Drosophila melanogaster: one gene and its partners. The protein of the gene in region 3 interacts with the protein of the main gene of each other region in a pairwise test. Each region holds a gene or a part of one and is shown on either strand. Other genes may lie near its edges.

Evidence for each region.
Region 1: the proteins of grk (region 3) and CG12824 interact in a two-hybrid assay, tested with the Drosophila melanogaster proteins (one large-scale study listed by BioGRID).
Region 2: the proteins of grk (region 3) and jbug interact in a two-hybrid assay, tested with the Drosophila melanogaster proteins (one large-scale study listed by BioGRID).

Annotation. Positions count from the first base shown.
Region 1 is NT_033778.4:7,788,013-7,791,609, forward strand, and holds CG12824 (uncharacterized protein), read left to right. Parts: upstream 1-2,355; 5' UTR 2,356-2,389; coding exon 2,390-2,486; intron 2,487-2,544; coding exon 2,545-2,624; coding exon of another isoform or gene 2,625-2,680; coding exon 2,681-2,813; intron 2,814-2,866; coding exon 2,867-2,985; 3' UTR 2,986-3,097; downstream 3,098-3,597. Other genes in the region: CG12825 (uncharacterized protein), read left to right, coding at 1,244-1,346, 1,409-1,488, 1,565-1,700, 1,761-1,876.
Region 2 is NT_033778.4:22,734,046-22,739,759, forward strand, and holds the start of jbug (jitterbug), read right to left. Parts: upstream 3,001-5,714; 5' UTR 2,797-3,000; coding exon 2,560-2,796; intron 152-2,559; coding exon 1-151.
Region 3 is NT_033779.5:8,429,628-8,436,071, forward strand, and holds grk (gurken), read right to left. Parts: upstream 3,972-6,444; 5' UTR 3,788-3,971; intron 3,646-3,787; 5' UTR 3,456-3,645; coding exon 3,386-3,455; intron 2,868-3,385; coding exon 2,250-2,867; intron 2,115-2,249; coding exon 1,915-2,114; 3' UTR 1,459-1,914; downstream 1-1,458. Other genes in the region: Akap200 (A kinase anchor protein 200), read left to right, coding at 654-740; D12, read right to left, coding at 4,582-6,444. UniProt on the Drosophila melanogaster protein: Critical for defining the anterior-posterior and dorsal-ventral axes of the egg. May signal directly to dorsal follicle cells through the receptor torpedo (top).

The DNA of each region.
Region 1 (3,597 bases), on a different chromosome or scaffold from region 3:
TCCTAAGTTGAAAAGTGGAATAATGCGCCTCCTACTTACTTCTTAAATATATTCATCTATATACTTATATATAAATGCATATATAGTCATAATTTATTATACAAATATACATTTAAAGAATTCAAAAACCCCAGAAGCAAAACTAAACTTAACTAAGGCGGAATCCAAGTTCGTGCAAGCAAAGGCAAATAAAGCAACCCAAGTTGAACGAATGCTCTATCGAATGCACTTTCGCTCTATCATATTGATGTTATATTTCTAATTCTCCTGTGATTTTGCCAAAAACAAAACAAAAAAAAAAAAAAAAAAACAACAAAACCAATCGAAATGCAACAAATCGAAATATGAAGTGCTTATGATGAGAAAGGACAGATGCGCGGGGCAGCTAAGCAACCTGCCCGAAGGAGGTCTCCTCTATTGACTTAGTCTTATTTACACGTTGTGTACTTTTTATATATTTATACATACCTACTTGTACTAATCGAATGTTATAACCTACGTAACGTATTTTTATATATCTTGACTAACTTGATAACACCAGAGGAAGGCGACGTTTGCCAAGTTTCTTAAGTCTATCTTAACCAATTTCTAACGCCACTTAACTCAAATTAATCAACGATTCTCACGCAGAACGTAGAACGCCTCGAACGTTTTCTAAAATACGCTACATTTTGCAGTTTATAACGCGAGTTAACTGAAAATCGAATAGTTATTATACATCAAAACATACATATGAAGCAATGCCGTGCGGTGATATTGCAGTAACATTTTTTTATACCTAATTATACTAGTTAAAGATGCAAGAAAACCAAATAGTAAAACGCATGTTACAAATTTTACAATTAACAAATTTTTGCACACTCGCCACTCTCAATTCGTTAGCTAATCAATTAAATTCCATTGCATTATTCAAAGTAATCGACTCGAGGTCGTATCTCATTGTAAAATGGTGTAGCCACAAGTTGGGAACCCATCGATAGATAGGCCCGCATGGATTGCCCAGTTAGCTGGCCAGTCGAAGCAATAATAAGCGAATCCTTCAATAAAATTATAATTATACACTAACCAACAAAGGTTTTCTTCAATTGTTGTTGCGCTGGTGGAGGAGCTACAGTACAATATGAGATTAGATAAGGTCTGCGGCAAAAGCTAGCCTGCTCACCCATCACCACCATGAATACTCCCGTCCAGTTTAGTTGTGAAATAATCGGCGGTCTGCAAGTTACTCTGCGATTTTGGAAACATGTGGAAGCTGGACACCAAAGGAGGAATCATCTGCTCGGGCTGCCTGTCCATAGCCTTTGCCATAACCTATCTGGTTTTGATGGACGATTACTTCTGGAAATGTAGGCGCATATACATACCAATCTTGGATATCTTTGCGATGCATAGAGCTATTTCGTTTCAGATGGACTCTACGAGATGGGAATACACATTTCGGCGCTGCAGATCTTGGGAAGCGTGGTCCTCATCGTTGGAGCCATAAAGGTTAGTTAGGCACACTGTGCACAGTCCACAACACTCTTATCTCTTATCTCTTTGCTCTGCTCTTTGCTGCATACAGCAAAAGCACAAGTTCTTCGTGCCGTGGATGATAACCACAGGATTCTTTTTATACCTGATGGTGAACCTGTTCATTTCACTGATAGTCCAGGGCACAGCTTGGATCTTCGGACCATTGATGGTCGTTCCGTTCACAGGTGAGGAGTTAACGCAGCCAGAGATTGGACAGCCAATTAACCAAAATCCTTCACTTTCAGCCTATCTGGGCTGCGCCCTGTACTCGGTGCAGAAGGCCTTCGACAGGATGCGCAAGGAGGAGCCACCGGCATATGCCAGCTTGTCCGACAAGAAGGAGTTCATCAATCACATATAGATACATATATAAGCAATTTCAATACAAACAAAAAAAAGATTAAAGGTAGATCAGATAGCTGGAAAATAAAAGCTCATTTTAAGTGCTATTCAAACGAAACAAACCCACAAGAAATCGGTGTAAATTTAAACTTTTCTAAAGTTTATTACAATTTGCAATGGGAACTATAAACTTTAAGGCAATCACTTTTGTGAACTATTATTTTCAGTGTGCTCTGAAAATATATTTGTTATCTTTTTTCTGCGAAATTTCGTTTCCAGCTCACATCTCTGTTATCTCTGACAAAGGTAATTCTGTTTTTTTTTTACTTTTATCATTTGGCTTTTAGCAAAGCTTGTTTTCTATGATGCACAATTTTATTATCCCTTTTGCGGTGCCTATATATCCCACAAAGGCTTTTATGTATATGCGTTGTATATAAAGCAATGGCTGATTAGATAAGTATTAAAAAAAGCTTTTTAGTAATGGAACAATGGATCATTTGCGAACAAAACGCCCATCGAGGAGTTGGAAATGTGGAAACCGGACTCCAAGGCGGGCATTATTTGCTCCGGGGCTGCATCGATCTGCCTTGCGATCGCCTACCTCATCATATTCGCCAACTTGAGGGGTACTGAACGGGGGTCAAAGTTCAAGAGCCAGCACATCTAATACCAGTTTCCCCGCAGAATTATCCTACGCATTTGGAGTTCACATAGCGTCCATGCAGATTATCAGCAGCGCAGTACTCATCGGCGGAGCCATCAAGGTCGGCCATACTCCCAATGCAACTTCCAATTTTTCACCCACATTCTCTCATCGCAGGAGAGGCACAAGCTCTTCGTGCCCTGGATGATCACAACCGCCATGTTCCTCTACTTAATGGGTTACTCATCCATTGTGCTGCTGGCCATGGGCGATTGGTTAATCGTCATGTTTTGCGCAGCGCCAATGATAGGTACAATATAGAGATTAACTTCGTCCTTCAATAAATCCAAAAACTACTTTCAGGCTGCCTCGGAATGGCATTCTATGCGGTGCAGAAGGCCTTCCGCAGGATGCGCAAGGATGGGCTTCCACCGAAGTATGCCGACATGCAAGTCAAAAGTATTTTGGTGAATCCCATATGATGCATTTTGCCATTTACAATTGTTGGTTTATCAAAAGCATGATGCTTCTGAGATATGGTTATATATTTTGTCTTTACTAAATGCAATAATTATATATAATATGGTGAAGAGCATTTTTAGTGGTGTTATTGTATTTATATATTACATTCTATAATATACAAATTAATACTGAGAGTTTGATTTGTTGAAATTACTTTTCCATTTGATTTACCATCAATATTTTTATGATTGTTAAATGGAAATTCTATTAAGCCTTATAATTTGAACAGAAATAGCTCAAATAATAAAAGCTACATATTTTTTAAAAATATCTTAAGCTTAGCATTTGGAAATTTAGAATGACGGCATTTTCAAATATCCCGCTCTTTGCAGCCCTGGTTGATGCTAATCGATTCAATTCTGTAATGCCGATAAGCTATGTACCAAGCAGCAAGCATATGTGTATGACCTTTCGTGACCTTGGTTATGCTCATAAGAAAGCCGCTTTGTATAAGAACGCAGGTCGATATATGAAAACAAACCCTTTATCCACCAAAAAGTATAAAGTATATATAAGCTATATAGTTTATATGGTCTGAGTTCAATTGGTCGTTATGTGTATTTATGTTGTTT
Region 2 (5,714 bases), on a different chromosome or scaffold from region 3:
TGGACTTCAGCGCCGTGGTGGCGTTCTCCAAATAATGATGCTGGTTGGCGGGTCGGCGATTCCACGAGGGTTTCAGTGGACGCGTCTGCAGATTCTCCACAAGGGCGCACAGACAAGTGCCATCGCAGAAATCGGTGGCCCAGTCATGAACCTGAGAGACAATGGGAATTTGCATTAACTTCTCCGTATCATTAGAAATAGTAATGGGAAAGTTTGTGGCAAATAATTAGATTACTGCTGGAATACATTCCGTTTAGCAACGCAAGTAATGTGGCAAGTAAGAGATGGGAGTGCATTCCATAATAGGTTTATTATTATAATTGCATTTAATATGATATTAGCTTTTTACGGTCTAATGGATTTGCAAAATGTACTTTTATTAAGTGGGTAGTTTTTACTTTTCCATTCTATATAGATTTAATTTTAAAAAGCATGCTAACCCAAAACAAAAAAATGTTCGAAAGAAGAGATTTTTTATCTTTATTTAATGACTCTAGCAGCATTTTCTTTATAGCTATGCATTAGTTGAGATTACTAGACTTGCTGTAGTACATATGTACATAGTTCCCAATGGAGATTAGCAAATGTGCGAAACGCCTACCATGTCTGCGCAAATGCAAGAAGGTCGCTTGACTGGCAGCCTTCCTAATGAGCAATCAACGCCCCTTCCGCAAACTGGTGGCCCACTTTGCAAGGTAAACCGCTTGCTCGGAACTTGGAGCATGGAGCTCAGATCTCGGAACATGGCACATGGAGCTCAAGAATGGGCTTGGGAACCCAACAGGTTCGCTGCTCCGAACTGAGCGGCTTTCTCCGCCCGGGTGCAACCAATTGTGCGCGATTTTAAGCATTTGACATAAAGCTTTTTATCTGGCTGCTGTCGGCATTCGATTCGACTGGGGGGAACTCCACTCCACTCCACTCAACTCAACTCAACAAATAAAATACGACAAAAAACTGGAGAACTGGGTACGGAGACAATCGCGTGTCTGTTGCTGTTTGTTTGTGCCTAGGAAAATATTCATTGGATGCCATAAAAATCTCACATCGCACATATGTAGTTGCTCCATGGCTCTCTAACAAGCTGCCGCAGGTTGTTATTTGTCGCTGCTGTTATTCCGCCCTTAAATTTTTAAGATTCCTCTGATTTTACGATATGAACTCGAGTTTCGTTGGGAGTTGCGTTTTCACCTAACAAAATATATATGTACTTTTATTTGCATATAAATTTTTGCTATATGTCAGAAAATGTCTAGTCATTCTATTACGACAGTTCCATGGTGGCAATCATTTTGAGATAATTTAATTCTACCTGCCGCAACTGTTGTTGCACTGCATTAAAACGTTAAGGTCATACAATGCAGTCACTTTGAATATTTCTCTCCGTGTATCTGCTCCCATCAAAGCATTTCCCTTTTGTTTGCACATGCATTTGTCATACAAAGTGGATTGCAATATTATTTGTCGCATACGCATGAACTAGAATTGTAAACAGCGTAAAAAACGCAAACTTGGATGACTCGTTTTGGTTTGGTGACCCAAATAGACGCCAGCCAGGTCACAATTAGCGCTGTTTACTAAGGGGTCTTCAGCCTTGCTCATCACATATGTACACATACACGTATGTATGTACGTTTTTGGCCCAACCGAAAAAGTAAAAAAAAAAAAATAAAACCCCGAATTTTATACTCGAAACCGGGCAAGATCGCGCACAAAAGCTTTAGCTTGTTTTGTGTATTGTAACTGCTAATGGGAACTCGATGCGTTGGCCTTGGCATTCAACCGGCCAAATATGGTCGGTTCAGGTCGTTTCAGTGCGGTGCGTGTGAGAAAATCCGTCGAAGCGAGTGACAGTTCAAAAGTCCCTGGACAAATGAAATGCATTGTTGGCAGTACACATAAGTCCGTGTGAGTACTCTTGGCATCATTGTTAATGTAATTGTCGTTGCTGCCATTGGAGTTCAAGATCTGCGTGGGCGATTGAGCCGAGTTTTATGAGCCCGGCCTTTTAGGGAAACTCGCGGAAGAGCTCGAAGCCCCAGTTTATGATGGCGATTTATACTTTTACGTGTTCTGTCACCAGTCAATGCGCTCGTTATGCGATTATATTTAGCTTAAATGGGATCAGTATATGAACTTCAAAAACCTTGCTTTTAAAGTGCTTCTTAATTGCGATTTATAATAATCGAAAATTTTATTTGTATAGAGTTCAATTAAAAAGTGTTCATTATTTCACATATTCATATTTTGTTTTCTATCCCTAATTACACTTCATTAAGCAGTGCCACTTTTTCTATGTGCAACTGCCTTCGCAAATCATTTCCTGGCTAAAATTCCAGATCTAAACGTTTTGTATTTCACTCATCGATTCTCAGGCCCTGCTTCATCAATAGTTCTACGAATTCCACATTCAACGGAGCTAGCCCATTGATTGGGTAATTGTTTTTTGCGCTTGATCGATCAGATATTCAGTCGGCGGCAGGCATTACTCAGTCGGTTAGAAAGTGTTGCATAATCGGAATGTAAATATATCTACAATATATCTATGGCTTAACTCACCTGCATTCCCGTTTCACGCAAATGCTCGTTGACCCAGTTGCGGAATGTGTTCGCCTGGATCTCTACCCAGAGGTCCTCGTTGCCCCGTATGTTCATACCCTTGGCGGCGGTGCCCTCGGGACTCCGGGCCACCAGACCGGCATGGGTGATCTTCTGCGTTTCGGTGGTTCCATCGGAGTTGTGCTTGAGCAGCCCCGCATGCGTCACCTTGGCGCCTTTTATGTCCTTGACGTCCATCTTCACTGCACGTCACTGCACTTCACCTGCGACTCGCACATATGTATGTACAGATGTAACTCGCGTTCGAAACACTGATCGGGAGAAATGGATAGATCGCGATGAGATACTTCTGATCGCTGTAAGTTGTAGCTATGCTATTCAGTTTCGGTTTCAGTATCAGTTTTAGTTTCGTTTGCACGCGCTCGCGGCCCGAAGCGAACTGGAACTGCGCTTAGCTGGTCGATCTGGGCGGCTCTGCTCTCTTGGCCTGGCCAAAACAAACGATGACGTCATGGCCAAAGCTCAAAGCTCCAGAGAGCAGCAGGAGAATTTATAAAAAAAAATGCGGGGGGTTTCGCCAGCGAATGTGTGTGTGCGAATATCTCTGAATCTGGCTATAAAGCAAAACTGGTTTCGTCGCTTCCAAGCCAAAACGAAGCGAGCGAAAAGGAAAATTGAATACAAAAATAACAAAAAGGCGAAAATAATACAAAAAAAAAGAGTCTGTAAAATAACAGAAATCACTTAGTTTGGAATTTCGCCGCGGCAACAGCAGGCAAAAAGCGAGCAGATCTGGTGGGCAGTACTGTGGATGCCAGTGGTTGTCGTGAATGTGGCTGTTTGGGCAAGTCTTTCACAAACGTTAGAAGGCCAACATGTGTGTAAACGTGGGAGCCACCCCAGAAGATAATGGACGTAATCACAGCAATGAAATCTGCCACGATCAATTGTCAATTGTTCGCCCGTTTTCACTTGTCGCACTTTTACCCAAACAATTTGTGCAAACCGAAAGTTGGCCGTCTGAATGGCCTTTTTGGCATTTTTCCACACGGCGTTGCGAAGACAACGAGGCGTCAAATGACCGTCTAACCAACTTAATTATAGGAAATCCGGTTGCGTTTCTAAACAAGTCAATTGCCACAGATCGCATATATCATAGCACGTCCAGTTCTGAGCGAGGCTGGTATGCAGATTTTGAATACGAATACGAATACTATTTATTGACAAACACTTTTCGGAGAGGTAAACAACTCTGGGATGACATCACTCATCACTTGCTCGGCACAGCGATGAGTTGTGGCTTGAGCACTTTTTTAACGCCCCGACAGGAGAATACAGTGCGAGAAAATCATGCTGACTAATATTACAAAAGACAGTTGACGTAGCTAATCTAGTAACTCTTCAATGGAATTCCTCTTAAAACATCAATTAACTACTTAAATACACCGCTTTGCCGCAAACTAATTTGTACCTTAATTTATTTTAAGCAGAGATGTCATTGTTGTGTTTTTGTCTCAGTGACAAAACTGCGTGGCTTGGATGAAATAAATTAACCAGCGGGGACAGCAAAAAGTGGAAATTAATGAATTGCTCCTCGGACTTATGAGTGATCCCGTGGCTGATGTCATTTACTGACACTTGACATTGGCAATGAACCTAATTAGTTGCACTCGCCAGCGGAGTGGAATGAGCCCCACTACTCGGCGAGTTCTATAGATTCAGCTGGCGGCAAGGTCATGGGAATGGTCATGATAATGGTATTGGTGGTGCTATTGGCCAAGGGGAATGGGAATGGTAATGGTAATGGGAATGACCAATCCGCTTCTTAGTTTACTCAGTTGGTCAGCAGGTAAATATCGAAAGTGTTGTCGTGACTTTAAATGGCAGAAGAGGGCCAGCTAGCACACCTAGTTTAGGGCATTACGTAATGGCCGAAATTTTCGACTTTGAATGGGCAAAAGTGTACGTATCGTAGGCTACAAATCGGTGTATCTATATCACAGAATGCGATGTGCACGTAGGTGTCTGGCATTTTTTACACTTTTCGATTTGTTTGCTGTCCGAATATACATTCGTATATACTTATTTCGCTTTTTGCCTTGCAAACCCACACGGCCAGCCAAATCTCGTAGTCGTCGTCATCGGGACAGCCACCCACATGGTTGGTTGGTTCAACGCCTCGTTCTAGACGTGGGTGCGATTTCAAGTTTGATTTGTGCCAAAACCGTGTACCAAATGGCCATTGATTTCTCAATGATTCTGTAGTGGCTGCCTAGCTACAACTCTGTTTGGATCCGAGCTGTGGGAATATATTTGGTTAGATGTTCTATGACAACGTCATTAACTTTGAAATATATGAGATTAACTGGAGTGGAGGTGAAGCCCATAATTATGTTGATGGATGGTTACGGAATTTACTACGAAAGGCTGTTCTAGAGATGAACCTCGAAAAATAAATGATGATTGAGTTATTTCATCAATTAGGTTTCTTAAACCCTTTTTTTTTTCAATATTCGATTTCTATTATAATAGTAACAGGCAGACTTAACTTTACTACTCAGTTGGACACAAGCCAATTGTTGCTTGGATTCCCTGCCAAAAGAATATAATACGATTTAAAAGTTTAATACTACATTGGCATCCTTTCCAAGATTATTATAAGTAGATTCAGTGCTATTTCCTTTTTAGACTAGGGGTGGGCTGTTTGTTTTGTCTGTTGGTATTACATATTCGACTTCCTGTTGGCCAAATGCGATTGTAACACTTGCCACGCCTTACAGTTAAATGATGGCCTATTAGCGCACGCTTCTATAGCGAGTAAGCGCTTATTTTTGGCATCATTTTTATGGCGGTTCGTCATAAATAGAAAACACTCCAAACGATGTGCTCACACATACGCACAGACATACATATGTACATATGTGTTCCCTGCTCTTTTTGAGGCACTGCCAAGTTTGTGTCTTCAGTCTTTTGATTAATGCCGTTAGGCGTCGCCAAAGCGCAGCCAAGCCAAACCTTCTTGGTTCGTATGAATGATTGTGTGTGTGTGTTCTTTTGTTTTTTAATTTTTGCTCATTACTCTGCCTCGTTTATTCGCCTAAAAGCCGCAGCAATTACAATTGAAAATGCCTTTTAGCCAGCACTTAAAACCAATC
Region 3 (6,444 bases):
CCCATTCAAATGGCATCAGATATTCTGCTGCTGGTAGCGCGCTTGTTGCCGTAGTTGTTAATACGTAGTTCGTTAGTGTTTGGTACATTGATTGATGTTGATTGAATTGCTCGGGGATTGCATGATATTTTTTGGTGATATAAAGCGAATGAAGTACGTAATACTAAACCGAGGATAGCGACTGCATTGTATTAACCGCAAGATACCAAGTCCATAAACACAACCTAAAACGCATTCATCCTAATCCTCCACACATGCACACCAAAATACAAATTTAGAAAACAGAAAATTATTCAAAACCCAACCCATTTATACCCCGCTCTGTCCTAACTCAATATCTGTTTGGCTGTCGTAACTCTTGGCTCTCACTAAAACCAAAGACCATAAATACACAACTGTACCTTAATGTTAAAAACACTACACACATACACACACACTCGCACACACAGTTCGTAAATCGCTTATTATTAAATACATTATTTTGTATACTATTTCGTTTTGTTTTTGCGCCTTTGTCATTGTCGCGAACTTTCTTTCCCCTTAATTGTTGTTGTTGTGCTTTCAGTTTTTAATAATTTTTTTTTTATGCAACACACAAAGCAAAAGCCTTGACCAGATAAACAACTAATAATTTCCATTGCGTTTGTTCACAGGTGGATCTCGCCAAGGATCTGAAGGAGAAGAATGCCGCCGCGGCAGACGTTACAACACAGGAACAACTGCCCGTTACATGCGAATAATCCTACTCATAATTATTATATATAATATTACATATTATTAAAAACAAAACAACAAACGATACAAGCAACAACAAAAGAACGCAACGTAAAACAACAAACAATTACAAGATAAACGAGATAAAAACAAAACAAAACAAAAAACAAGCAAAAATACATTTTTAAACATTTACATATTTTAAATAATTTTTGTACGAACTTCATATCCCTAATCCAAGATATACGCAAGCAAAAGTCCGAGTTACACGCGACACCACCATCCACGCCACCAATGCAACCACTGCAACCAATCACCACGCCCCACTCAAACACCACCCACGCGCAGGAATCAATAGTTTTTTTTATTGATGCCTCTCAATTCCAGATCGGGTTAAGTCCCCAAAAACACATCCATCACCCATCAAGCACACACCATCCACCACACAAGCGCATACATACCATTCTCATATTGATGATCTTGATAGCGAAAGAATCAACAAATCATATACGATGAAATGATGAAAGTGAGGAGAATTTTTTGAATAATTTCTACTATACATTTAACTGTAAGTTCGAAGAAATTTGTAAAGAATTTTTGGACGAAATATTGGATAAAATATATATTATAAAATATAAAACCCAAAAGCGTGCTTCACTCATATCCGCCGGCTGAAAAAAAAAAACGAGAGAGATAGAAACGAGATACGAGATACGATGAACCGCAGAAAGGAAACAATGTTTTGAATGTTTTAATTCTGTTTCGAGTCGAGTCCCAATCCTCTTCTTTAATACACTACCAAAATAGTTTTTCTTTACAATATACACAATGTAACAGAGTGTTACGAAAATAATCACTTGTCCTGGTAACTGGAGTAAGCGCTAAGATTACATTATATTTCGTAATGGTTAATTTAACGTAACAAAATGTTACTACAAACAAACTACAAAAGCTCCAACGAAAGCTTCAAAAGCGAAACAAACGAAACTAAGAAATGATAAAGAAAAGCAAATACTAACTTGTGCGTCTTTTGCAACTAAATAGAAAATCCTACTAAGTACACTAAATGTATTCAATAAATTAAAGCGTTAATTTTACGCTGCGCAACGTAAAGAAATATGGTCAACAAGAATTTGCCATCCAACAAAGAGGAGGCTTATATAGGTGAAACCAAATTGTTTCCAAATCAAATTCTAAATCTCAGCATCTGACAAAAAAGCGCTGCTTATGCAGGTGTAGTTGCTGCTGCTTCCGGCGATAATCCGGCACATTGCGGAGCATGAAAACGGCTGCGAAGAGAACGTAGAGCGACGACAGCATGAGGAGTACGGGAAAGGAGAAGACGATGTGCGCCATTCGGACCTTCCGCTGCGCTGTTGGAGGCGAATAGATGTAGTCACCTGCAATGATCAATGAGTTCATTTAGTTACCATGTACTGGGTACAGACTAATAGATATCGTTAGTTCCATCCGTTCCATACAACACAGGAAGAGACTTCTGTGAATGGATGGCTATGCTAGAGTAGAGTACCTACCATTCCAGCTCTTGTAGGCGCACCGCTCTCCATCGTAGTCGTTAACGCAGAGGCAGGAATGGAAGACTGTGTTGTTCACCATCGGATGCTGGAAGCAGTGGCCGCCGTTCAGGCAAAAGCTAGTATTGTAAGCTTCGCTGCAGGGCAGCATCTGAATCTCTGTCTCCTTGTCGTTCGGGCTGGGAGTCGTGGAGTCAGGCGTGCTGGACGAACTGGGGTCAGGTGGCGGTTCTCCGGTGTGGGTAACAGTTTCGGGTGTTGTCACTGTCTCGGAATCAGTGATTGGTGTGCTGCTTTCGCTGGCCAACCAGGTGTCGGTACTGGATCCGAGAATTATCCCATCCTGTTCCGGATCCGCAGCAATGGAGTCGTCTGCGTTTGGCAGTTGGCCGCCCGAGTCCGGATTGGGATCCGTATCGGGATGCAGCTGGTCTGCCTCCTCCTGGGCCGAGGCCTCCAGTTGCTTGCGCTGCAGCTCCAGGCGATTGAGCAACTCAACCGCGGTCTCCTGGATCTGCTGCTGCAGCTCGTGCGCATGCTCGTGCATGTGGCTGTGCTGATGCTGCACAATTTTCAGCGTATGCTCTCGGAGAAGTAAGATTCGGCTCGAACAACAATCTGCAGAATACAGAAGAAGGTGTGCGATTAAGAAAACAGGACATTTCCAGTGATCGCAAAGATACAGAATAGATAACGTTGTAAAGCTCAAGTTGAAGTACAAAAAGCTTTCAGTTTTTAGTGCGGCAACTTTTGAAATTATCATAAAAATGTCTCCCTATGGTATTATTATTACTAATTTTTTTAATTTTTAAGAATGCAAAGTTTGTTCATAAGGACAGTATTTAAATGAAACTCAAAAAAATCTTTAGAAATAATTCACAAATATGTATATTATCTGAAGTTTACTTCATTCATCATCCACGAACAGAAAGCTAATACAGGATTTTACACAGTTTTCAAGGAAGTTTTAGTTTTTTAGCATAACAAGTATATAATCAGCACTGCAAATATTTTATGATTTGTTGTAGCTGTTTTCCAGTTTTTTCGACGCTAGAAATAGCTTTTTTTGTGGGAGAGCCTGGCAATACTGGCCGTAATATTGGAATCTAAAAATCAGGTGGAGATTATGTACGTACCTGTGACGGCGACAATTGTTGAGAGCACGAAAATTACTTTGAAAATCCGAGTAAATGGGATTTGCATCATTGGAAAACGCTTGGGGTGGCGCTCCGAAAAATATTGATTGGGTGGACCGATTGTCCACCACTAGGAAAACTGAGTCAATGAAGGGGTCTAAACGATCGAGGGATCGAGCGGCGTGCTGGCCGCAAATGCAATTTGGCGTCGCAACAGAAGCTGAAACATACTACACACTTGCATCTCCTTGTGGATTTTACTGCAAAATAAAAATAGAACATTTTAGCGCCTCCACATTTTCTGTCGCACGAACGCACACACACGAAACAAAAAAAAAAGGAAAAGAAATAGCATTCAAAATTGGTGATCCAAAAGCTTTTCATAGATTATCTTAGACGTACTGGAGCTGCTATATGGCCTGTAGAAGGCTTCGACATTATAATTATTATAATGACTCGTGAATCATTTTATATATCAGGCAAGTAATTAATTAGTTAATCTAAAGAGCAGCAAGCGCGGGAAGCGGGCTCTTCTCTGCTCCACTTTGATTTTAGGTCTTGTTGCGCGCACGTCGGAAAAGAGACTGAGGAAAACAGAGCCAGAGAAACAGATGGACCTCATCCCTACATTGGCGGCATTGGCATGCGCCATGAATGAAATCGATCGGTGAGCGGGGAGAGCGAAGAGAGCGCCCCCAAAAGAGATGCGATTGCGACCGATAATAGTCGAAGAATCATATGGATATGCTAAGAGCTGCAAAAAAAAACCGCCCTTTAACAGTTATTCAATTTGTTAACGGCACTTTTCACTGCATACTTCTAGGGCACTATAAAGATATATTACTCTGTGAAGATAGCTGATAAGACTTAAAAATGTTTACATGTTTCGTACAAATATGCAATTGTAGCGATTATTATTTATATTGATAAAACAATTTAAAAGTCTTCAGCCAGATATTCAAAATTTAAAAATTAATGACCACTCATCTCATGATTTCGTCCAAAATATGATAATCGTTGATAATTAAAAACGCAGTATTCATTTCTTCGGACATTAATTTAGTTAATTTATTGCTTAGATTTATGCTTACCAACGAGTACAAGGCTCTAATTAGATATCAACTAATATCCCAGTAGAATTTGAACTATGACGCGGACTTGATAAAAAATAAATTCAAAACAATGGCAACTGCACATTAGATTTGTGGTTCTATCGGAGCAACTCCCAAGTGACTGTTTCCGAGGAAATCCAATTCGGAACACAGACTGATGACACGGCCTATGTCCTGAGGTTGGAGACACAACGGAGCATTGGCCGCCGCCGGTGGCAACTGTTCCAAAGTCTCCTGTTGCAGTTTCGCCGCCAAGGAGCGGCGCACCAATTTCTCAATAAAAGTGCGCAGCACTTGTCCGAGCATCGAGAGAGCCAGTGGCTGGGAGACGCCAGGCGGAGATTCCTCCGGTTCCAGTGTGATATTAATGTCCTTGCACATTTCCTGGACCAGCTGCAAGGTCGAATCCAAGTGCTTCGGCGGAGGTAGATAAAGTAGTTGGCGATGATTCACCATTTGGAAAGATACATCTGCTGAGTTTGTTAACCTGGACGCAAGCGGATGAGGTTTGTCCACACCCAACACATCGATGAACTCCTTATCCCGCATCTGTTGATCATGACCAAGCAGACGATCGGATTGCTTGGTTATCCAAGCTTCCAGCCGATTGCCTGAGCTGAGACTGCTATAGGCCGACAGTTGCGGTTGGGGCTCGCCCTTTAGTTGCGCCTGAACACGCCGAGCCAGTTGCTCCTCATCGCTCAGTTTTTGTTTTCTCTTTTCATGCACGACAGGTAAAACATCTTTGAGAGCTGGCGTATAACCATGAACCCTGGCGAACGCCACTATCTCCCGTAAACTCCAGTAGTGTTCCTTTCCACTAATGTCCAACTTATGCAGCTCGTGGTGCTGCATCAGACAGCGACGGAGCATACGTGCGCGCAGGTACTCAAAGCAACGTTGTTTTAGAGCAGTGTGATTGTGGAACTCTTCGAGGGTTATACAAGTGAATGGATACTCCTTTTGCTGATCAATCGACGCAAGCGGGAGGCGGCTCAGCAGGAACTCCACAGCACTGCGCATATTTCGGAATTGTGCACTTCTAAAGATGTGCTCCAGCCTTCGGGGTCGCGATTGTATGGTAGTGTCCACAATTGGAGGTAACAGCATTGGCTTTTCCTCCATCTCGCCGCTCATGTTGGCGTACCCATGATCGTGCTGCATGCACTGCAGCATATGCCATCGCGTTTCTGACGGTGGCTTAAGAAGACTCAATTGTGGTTTCAGCAGGGATTGTTGCTTTGCAGCCTGCTTAAGCTTGCGCTGCAAGGGATCGATAATGTACAGCTTTCCTGCTCTCTGAAACACAACATTCTTCTTGCCCTGGTGATGGCCATTGGGCACAGGCTTTATTGGTGGCCGATCCGACGAGGATTCCTTCCACGCTCTCTGCGGAGATGCCGGTGGATAGTGCTTTACTGGCGAAAACTCCTGCCGCTGCCTTTCTGGCAAGGATTCCTGCCTAGGACTTCGGCCGTTTACTGGCAGATAGACCACAGAAGGCTTCGAAGCGGTGACCTGAGCCGCATTTAACCGAAGTTGAGTCCTAGGAGGCGATGACGGAGTGGGTGGCTGCTTTCTTGGACTGTAGTTTAACTTCAGGGGCTCTGAAACCAACACAGTTGGTTCAATTTTCTCAATGTCGTCGCTGAGTTCAATTTTGTTGATACCAGCAAACAGATTGTCATCAAGTTCCTCCTTATTTTGAGTGATTGAAATGGTGCGCGGTTTGCATGACTCTCCAGGAAAGGCGAAAACCGAAGGCTCTAAAACATTCGGAGCAGCCAGAGGTGGAGCAGGAACTGCAGTCTCCTGTTCATGGGGAGGATGAGGTTTGCCGCTTTTCTGTTTCGTTATCGCCTGTTTTGCTCTCAGCCATATTTCCACAGTGGTCTCTGCGCCCATCGTGTGCAGTCCACACATTGTTTTATCCAGCACCACCGTGTG